Linked DNA regions of Sus scrofa. The protein of the gene in region 1 purifies or fractionates together with the protein of each later gene. This does not show direct contact. Links are inferred from orthologs where the notes say so. Each region holds a gene or a part of one and is shown in the gene's direction. Other genes may lie near its edges.

What was found.
Region 2: the proteins of SNRPG (region 1) and MEPCE purify together in Homo sapiens (affinity purification with mass spectrometry; 3 studies listed by BioGRID and IntAct, counting the BioPlex papers as one, with this or other methods). This does not show direct contact. The link is inferred for Sus scrofa from reciprocal best matches to the Homo sapiens genes SNRPG and MEPCE.

What each region holds. Positions count from the first base shown.
Region 1 is NC_010445.4:72,197,469-72,201,786, forward strand, and holds the start of SNRPG (small nuclear ribonucleoprotein G), read left to right. Parts: upstream 1-1,253; 5' UTR 1,254-1,375; coding exon 1,376-1,407; intron 1,408-4,318. UniProt on the Homo sapiens protein: Plays a role in pre-mRNA splicing as a core component of the spliceosomal U1, U2, U4 and U5 small nuclear ribonucleoproteins (snRNPs), the building blocks of the spliceosome.
Region 2 is NC_010445.4:8,355,028-8,359,476, forward strand, and holds the start of MEPCE (7SK snRNA methylphosphate capping enzyme), read left to right. Parts: upstream 1-1,574; 5' UTR 1,575-2,631; coding exon 2,632-4,305; intron 4,306-4,449. UniProt on the Homo sapiens protein: S-adenosyl-L-methionine-dependent methyltransferase that adds a methylphosphate cap at the 5'-end of 7SK snRNA (7SK RNA), leading to stabilize it.

The sequences.
Region 1 (4,318 bases):
ACAGTTAAGTGGGGTTTTGGAAGCATTGCAGGACTGTCCGTGGGGAATATACTTATGACCTCTAGATTAAAATTTTTTTTTTTTTTTTTTTTTTTTTTGTCTTTTTGCTATTTCTTTGGGCCGCTCCCGCGGCATATGGAGGTTCCCAGGCTAGGGGTCGAATCGGAGCTGTTGCCACCGGCCTACGCCAGAGCCACAGCAACGCGGGATCCGAGCCATGTCTGCAACCTACACCACAGCTCACGGCAACGCCGGATCGTTAACCCACTGAGCAGGGGCAGGGACCGAACCCGCAACCTCACGGTTCCTAGTCGGATTCGTTAACCACTGCGCCACGACGGGAACTCCTCTAGATTAAAATTTTTGGAAACTGAGGCCCCCTCACTCTATTCCTTTGGTGCAGAGGTCGTTAACTGAGCTGTTACTAGAACCTTAGTTGTAGCATGACATCCTGTGGGAATACTAAAATACCACAGGTTCAACAGTGAAGCAAATACCTCAAAGCAAGTCACAAGATTTTTTTTTTCTTAGTGTGATTACCTATCATAGATCACCATAACGAATACAGTAATGAAAAAATTTGAAATACTGTAAGAATTATCAAAATGACACAGACACAAAGTGAACAAATGCTCTTGGGAAAATGGCGCTGGGAGATTTGCTGGACTCTGGGCTGCCTCAAACCTTCAATTTGCTAAATTAAAAAAAAAAAAAAAACGAGTTCCCGATGTGGCTCAGGGAGTTAAGAACCGGACTAGTATCCATGAGGATACTAGTTTGATTCCTGGCCTCGCTCAGTAGGTTAAGAATCCAGCGTTGCTTTGTCTATGGCAAAAGCCAGCAGCTGCAGCGCAGATTTGACCCACAGCCTGGGAACTTCCATATGCGGAGGGTTCGGTCCTAAAAAGACCAAAAAAAAAAAAACCGCAGTGTTTGCAGAGGACAACAAAGGGAAGAACAACACATGGAAGTATGCACACACATGCCAAAGAAATTTTTAGGAGCCTACCCCTCCAGAGCTTATTTTCATCTGGTAGCGTCAAGACAACTTTGCAACCCACAAAGACAATGAGTTAACCAGCGTCCTTCAAATGCTAGAGGCAGGAACAGCAACCCAATTACAAAGAGGAATATAAAGACTGGAGGCCCCACCCCTCCGCTCTAGCCAATCCCTGGCGACACAACGGAAGCTTGGGACTGATCTGCGAGCTCAGGATTTTCCTAAGTATCGCGACGTGAAACGTGAAAGCGGCCAACAATCAATTGGCTAACGGGATCAGTGACGTCAGACGCAAAGCACCGGGCCTACCGCTGGAGCGTGAGGGAGAACACGAATTCCGTTTGGAGGTTTCTTTGAGTTCGCGGAGTAGGCATCATGAGCAAAGCTCACCCGCCGGAGTTGAAGAAGTAAGTATGCATGAGGGCCGCGCATAAATGGCGGCTTCTTTGTAGGCCTTGAGTTCCTTGGATCCCCAGCCATTTCCGGAGAGTGTGTCTGCCGTGCTTATTGCCACTGGCTGCCGCCGCGATCCGGGCCACCGTCCCACGTTTCCGGGCCTGCATCCCGCGCAAATGTTGTATTTCGGCCTGGTGGGCATGCTTTTCAAAGACGTAAAGGCCCCTCCGTCTGCAGGTTTGCCTCCCAGGCCGGAGTTCCTGGCCGGGTCTCTGGCACTCGATCCTTCGTTACTTAAAGATCTTGAATACCACAGTTAGCTGAACGCCTTGAGTAGCATCACGTTCGAGATAAGGTGGTTGGACAGTAATTCTGTAAGGAACTAAGGAGGTGGATGGAATGGAATTGTTTTGATGGTATATGAGAAATTCAAAAGCTGCCTTCATCTTAGTGTGTTGGTGGTTCCTTTGAGCTTTAACTTAGAAATCCCGTTCTTGGGAGTTCCCGTCGTGGCGCAGTGGTTAACGAATCCGATTAGAAACCATGAGGTGGCGGGTTCGGTCCCTGCCCTTGCTCAGTGGGTTAAGGATCCGGCGTTGCCGTGAGCTGTGGTGTAGGTTGCAGACTCGGCTCGGATCCCGCGTTTCTGTGGCTCTGGTGTAGGCCAGTGGCTACAGCTCCGATTCAGCCCCTAGCCTGGGAACCTCCATATGCCGCGGGAGCGGCCCAAAGAAATAGCAAAAAGACAAAAAAAAAAAAAGAAATCCCGTTCTTTTTTCTTAATTTCTTGCACTTAGGTTGAACTTGAATGTGTGATATTTTGCTCTGTTAACTGGAATGCGTGAGAACATTCATTTTTCTCTAATTAGAGAAGGCTCTTTTGTTGGGGGGGTGTTCTTGGTAAGATTTCCTTTTTGATTCTTAAGATATTAATGAGAGTTTTTAATTACCTTTCTTTTCTTATATGTAGATTTCAATAATTGTGAGATCCTGCCAGGTCTACCTCCAAAATGACTTTTAACTTTTTCTTCCTTACCATCTTTTTTTGGAGTTCCCTCGTGGCTCAGCCGGTTAAGGATCCAACATGGCACTGCTGTGGTTCAAGTTCAGTCCCTAGCCCAGGAACTTCCGCATGCCACCCACGAGGCCCGAAATCTTTTTTTTTTTTTGCATTTTTATATCTTCCGTCTGCTTTTAATATAATTCTGTGGTTCTTAACTGTGGTGTAGAGAGTCTGGTTCTACCAGCATTTAGTAGGTAGAGGCCAGGGTTCCTGCTAAATATTCTACAGTGCACTGGACATCACTCAACAACAGAATTATCTGGTCCCAGATGTCAGTATGCCAAGGTTGAGATACCCTGGCCCAATCATATTCTTCCTACCCCTCTTAAAAATCATTGCCAAAGTAGTCTTTTTTTTCCCCCAGTTTTTTTGAGATAAAATTGACCTACAGCACTACGTAAGTTCAAGATGTACAGCGTAATGGATTGATTTACACATGCTTCAGTAATCTTAGCCATGCCTGATACTGCTGCAGTAACTTATTGCCATCTGCATAATAAAGTCCAGACTTCTTGAACCAGCAGTAACGCTCCTCCATTTGAAATCCAAGCACCAAATATTACACACGCTAATATTTGAGTACCATGTTCTTGGGCCAAACTGAACCATTTGATTTTGCTCAAACTTTTTCACTGCTGAGTGACTTTGGAAATTTTACTTAACCTTTCTGGGCCTTGGTTCCCCATCTGTTAATTGGTGGTAATAACAATGCATAACTTAAAAAGCTTTCATAAGGATTAAATAAAATAAGTTCATATGTGTTATATTTGTGTTTTTTTATAACATCCTAGTAAAATTGATTGTTTTACATGTCATACTATATATTTTTATTTGTAAAAACCTGTCTTCTTACACCTTCTTCAGGCCTCATGTCTTATTTATCTTTGAATTCTCCATGATATACATTAAAATTGAATGAAGTTTCATATTTTCTAGCCTACAGCAAAGAGGTAAAAACTGGTTTGACTTGTTGGCTTCATATTCTTTTTGTCTTTAGGGCTGCACGCACGGCATATGGAGGTTCACAGGTGGGGGGTCGAATGGGAGCTGTAGCTGTAGCCCCTGGCCTAAACCACAGCCACACCAGATCGGAGCTGTGTCTGTGAGCTACACCACAACTCATGGCAATGCCAGATCCTTAACCACTGAGTGAGGTCAGGGTCCAACCTGCATCCTCATGGATACTCGTTAGATTCACTTCTGCTGAGCCATGACGGGAACGCCCTTGGCTTCATATTCTCATACTACCCTGCTGATATGGAATTTTGTTGCTTAATTCAAATTATTTAAAATTTCAATATGCATTTATTTTGCTAAAGTATACTTGGGTGTTGGAGAATATCCTGAACATTTAAGATTGTTGCTTAATATTAAATAAAACACTATGTATTGTCTCAAATATAAAATAAAATATCCATTGGATTGGATATGGTTTGATTACCTTCTGATTTCTTCACAACTTTGTTTGGTTTTTAAAATAACCAAAATATAACAAAATCTTTGTTTTTCTGTTTTGGTCGTAAGATTCTGTCATTGAATATTGGGTCGGGGAGTTCCTATAGTGGCTCAGTGGGTTTAGACCCTGACTAGCATCCATGAGGATGTGGGTTCGATCCCTGGCCTCACTCAGTGGGTTAAGGATCTAGCATTGCCACAAGCTGCAGCATAGGACACAGATGCAGCTTGGATCTGGCATTGCTGTGGTGTAGGCCAAAGGCCACAGCTCTTATTTGACCCCTAGCCTCGGAACTTCCATATACCACAGGTGTGGCCCTAAAAAAAAAAAAAAAAGGAAGATGAAGGAAAAAGAATCAGTATCGAACAACAAGAATGTTTTTAGGAGTTCCCGTTGTGGTGCA
Region 2 (4,449 bases), about 64 Mb from region 1:
GCTTCAGAACGCCAGGCAACAGGGACAGGGCCACTTATCACCAAAACAGACTTTTTTTTTCGGGACCCTGATCTTGGTTCAGACCCTTTCTATCTAACTCCCTGAAATGCTTCCACACGTGCCCCTGTTGCTGACTTTAAACTAGCTCATGTTGTTTTCCCTTAAAGGGCACACAGCCATGAACTCCCACATCGCTTCACCATCTGCCCTCTCAAAGAGCCAAGGCTTGGAACAGTAAAAGGCCTACTTCCACCTTTAAAACCAGAAGGAAGAATTTTGGGCGACCTACATTTCCCTTCTCTCTTCCCTCACCAATTCCCTCTTAAGGACGGCAATTAACACCAAAGGTACCACAGGCAAAAGTTCTTCACTCCCCTCAATAGGTAAAACAGTGACTGTCTCTTCCCCATCAAGAAACTCCTCGTGAATTTCCCCTCAGCTCCCTCTCCCCTCCCCCAGCCCGCGGAGGCACCAGGATCCTCATTCTCTCCGGCCCGTCGTCGCCCGCCCCGATACTACTGGGTTACTTTTGTTTGTTTGTTGGGTGCGAGTTTGCTGTTGGAGATTCTGAGGAGAGAGCTAAGAGTTGGTCCTCGTCCTAAAGAGAAAACTTCTCCTCAGGCTAAGAGTTGGTCCTCGCCCTAAAGAGAAAACCTCTCCTCAGGCAACAGGTACTAGGATTGGCCGCGCCTAGCACCTTCACCTGCAACCGGAAAAGCACCAGCAATCTTCTGGAGCGAGGAGGACCTAAAGGCCAGGAGCAGAATGAGCTACCGCAGCAACTCTGCAAACCCCTCCAAAACTCGAGCCAGTTTTCCCGCCACCAAGCAAGGTAAGGCGCGAGGCCACACACAAGCTCCACCCCACCCCTCCTACAAGCGGCGTGCTCGCAGGACTGCTGCGCATGCGCAGCTGGAAGCTAGTTCGGCGCTTGCGCAGCTGAGTTATAGCGCCATCTTCCAAACAAACGCCCTGTAAAACTACAAGTCCCATAATCCTGGTTGGCCTCACTTTTTTTTTTTTTTAGGTGGCAGCAGCAGTGCCTGATCGTTCATGAAGCCCATCTTCCTTTTCCTAACTTTTTTCTCTGCCCTAGACTTCCTTCCTGATTCCCATTCTCCCTTTGAGTCTCCTTCAAACCCTTATTTTGATATTTTGAGACTACCCTTAACACCACTCCCGCCTCTTTCGCCCTCTTCGCAGCCACAGGACCCAAACCCCAATCGCTGTGGGCCCGGAGAACGGGCCCCCTCTGAAAAGGGCATCGAGTAGCTTGTTCCCCATTGGCTGAGGCCGGGGCCCCCAAAGCCGACCGAAATCTCTTCCCTGCCCACGTTCGTTTTTATATAAGGCGGCGCAAACGCGCCGCGGGTGCTCGGAAAAGCCTGCGTGCAAAGGGGGCGGTGGTGGTAGATATACTGTTATTGGTGGCTGTGGTGGGCGTCTGGGTCGCCGTTCCCTAACGGGGGGAGGGGCTCGCGAGCAGGCGTCGGGTGGTGGGTGTGGAGGCGGAGAGGAGGGCGTGGTGTCCCCAGGTGATCGCGATTGAGGGAAGGCGGAGGAGCGAGAGAACGACCTGGCCGTTTCGGGGAAAGAGGAAGTTGGACAACATCGCCTTAGTACTTTTTTTCCCCCAGTTCATCAGAGAATATTTTCCAGGGGGGTGAGTTAAAATGACCTATTGTATTATACTGAGAACAGTAGTTAGGAAGACAGTGGGTACACTCCGCTCCTTTCCTTCTCCTACTTCTAGGTTCGCCCCTCTTTAGAAATAGGTGGGCCAAGAGGGCCACCACTTTATGAATAATTCACGAGGGCCTCCCCGTTCTTTAGCCACGCCCCTCCGAATCGTGCTGACGCATGTTGCGCGTACCAAACCTGAGGAAGCGACGTAGCAGTCCCCGCCTCTAGGACGGAGGGAGGGGCGTCATCTCCAGCACGTGCTGCATCTACCCGCGCAAGCCCAAAAGGGTGTGCGCAGGCGCTGCCCGCTAGGGGGAGGAAGGAGGCGGGGTAGGGAGGTTGCTGGGTTTAGAGCCGGGCGGAGACGGCAGAGACTCATTCCTCAGGAACAAGGGTCGGGTGTCAAGGAGACCTTTTCACACCAGCTCCCCGTCCCCCGCCTACGGTGGGTGGGATCGCGCGGCAGAGACAAAGGATATCACTAGGGACGGACGTAGCTGCGAAGGGAAGTAGGGCGTCAGTTTGGGGTGGTGGGCTTTGGTTGGGGGGGCTTAGGGGGGCTATATTTAAACTCCCGGAGCCGTTAAGTTGGTTCGTACTCTGATGCGCGCGCAACCAGGGTGGTGGCTGAGTGCGCATGCGTGATTCCGGGGCCAGAGGAACGCGCTCCAGCAGTGCGCGCTCGCGGCGAAGCGGTAGTGGTAGAGGAGAAAGGAGTCGGCGCACGCGCGGTTGGTTCCTCGAGTTCGGGTCTCGCGGGCATCTTGTTTTGGTCTCGCGGGCGAGTGGGGCGCGCTTCGGGGGAGGCGCTTGGGGACGAGACTAGGCGAGAAGCGGAACTGCGCGCGCACTCAGGAAAGGGGGGAAGGGAGCGCGGTCTTAGGAAGGGGGGGTTAAGCCCCCTGGTCCCCCTGGTTGCCCTCGACTGGGACGGAATAAGGGGAGGAAATGATCGAGATGGCGGCGGAGAAGGAGCCGTTTCTGGTGCCGGCCCCGCCACCGCCGCTCAAAGATGAGTCGGGCGGAGGGGGCGGCCCCACGGTGCAACCACACCGAGAGGTCGCCTCCGGGGAGCTCCGCGGCGGGACGCAGCGTGGGCCGGGCCCGCGCGCACACTCGGCGGGGTCCCCAGCTTCTGGGGCAGGCAAGGAGAGCCCCGGGGCTACCTCCACCCCTCGGGGCGGCCAGTCGCAGCAGCAGCGAGGGGGCGGCCCCCAGGCCCAGTCGACCGGAGAGGCCTGCTTGTCGGATCCCCAGGGGCTAGCCGCTCCCCCGGACGTGGGGGAGGAGCGCCGGGGAGGGGGCGGAACAGAACTGGGCCCCCTTGCTCCTCCTCGACCACGTAATGGCTATCAGCCCCACCGGCCCCCTGGGGGAGGTGGGGGCAAGAGGAGAAATAGCTGTAATGTAGGGGGAGGTGGTGGAGGCTTCAAACATCCGGCCTTCAAGAGGCGCAGGCGGGTTAATTCGGACTGTGACTCTGTCTTACCTTCCAACTTCCTCCTGGGGGGCAATATCTTTGATCCGCTGAACCTGAATAGTCTCCTGGATGAGGAAGTGAGCCGTGCACTCAATGCGGAGACCCCTAAGTCATCCCCACTTCCGGCCAAGGGACGAGATCCAGTGGAGATACTCATCCCCAAAGATATTACTGACCCTCTCAGTCTCAATACTTGCACTGATGAGGCCCAAGTAGTCCTTGCTTCACCACTCAAGACTGGTCGGAAGCGGCATAGACATCGGGGACAGCACCACCAGCAGCAGCAGCAGCAGCAGGCAACTGGAGGGAATGATAGCCACTCCGTGCTGCCCACAGCCCCCCTCACTCCCTCACTCCAAGGGGAGGGCACCACACAGCAGCAGCGGCAAAGGGGCCAGAACCGGGACGTCCCCCAACCCTATGAACTCAACACAGCCATCAACTGCAGGGATGAGGTCGTGTCTCCCCTTCCATCTGCCCTACAGGGTCCCTCAGGCTCCCTTTCAGCCCCTTCAGCTGCCTCAGTTACCTCTGCACCCCCGTCTTCCTCCTCACGACATCGCAAACGTCGCAGGACTTCCAGCAAGTCAGAGGCAGGGGCTAGGGGTGGAGGCCAGGGTCCCAAGGAAAAGGGCAGAGGGAGTGGGGGAGGCCGCCAACACCCCCACCCACTACCTGCAGCAGGCTTCAAAAAGCAGCAGTGCAAGTTCCAGTATGGGAATTATTGCAAGTACTATGGGTACCGCAATCCTTCCTGTGAGGATGGGCGCCTTCGGGTTATGAAGCCTGAGTGGTTTCGGGGTCGTGACGTCCTAGATCTGGGCTGCAACGTGGGCCATCTGACTCTGAGCATTGCCTGTAAGTGGGGCCCATCCCGCATGGTGGGCCTGGACATTGATCCCCATCTCATCCACTCGGCCCGCCAAAACATCCGACACTACTTGTCTGAAGAGCTGCGTCAGCCACCCCAGACTTCTGAGGGGGACCCAGGAACAGAGGGTGAGGAAGGGACCTCAACCGTCCAAAAGAGGAGCTGCTTCCCAGCTTCCCTGACCGCCAGCCGGGGTCCCATCGCTGCACCCCAAGTGCCCTTGGATGGAGCAGACACGTCCGTCTTCCCCAACAATGTTGTCTTCGTCACGGTAAGAAGATCTGCAGGCTTGGGATAGGGGCCTGGGAATGAAGATGAGATTAAACAGGAACATGGCAGGGGAAGGTTACGACCCAGAGGGCTTCTGTGCACATGAAGAGCCCACATCCTCAAAAGAAGGGTCTGAATCGGCGAC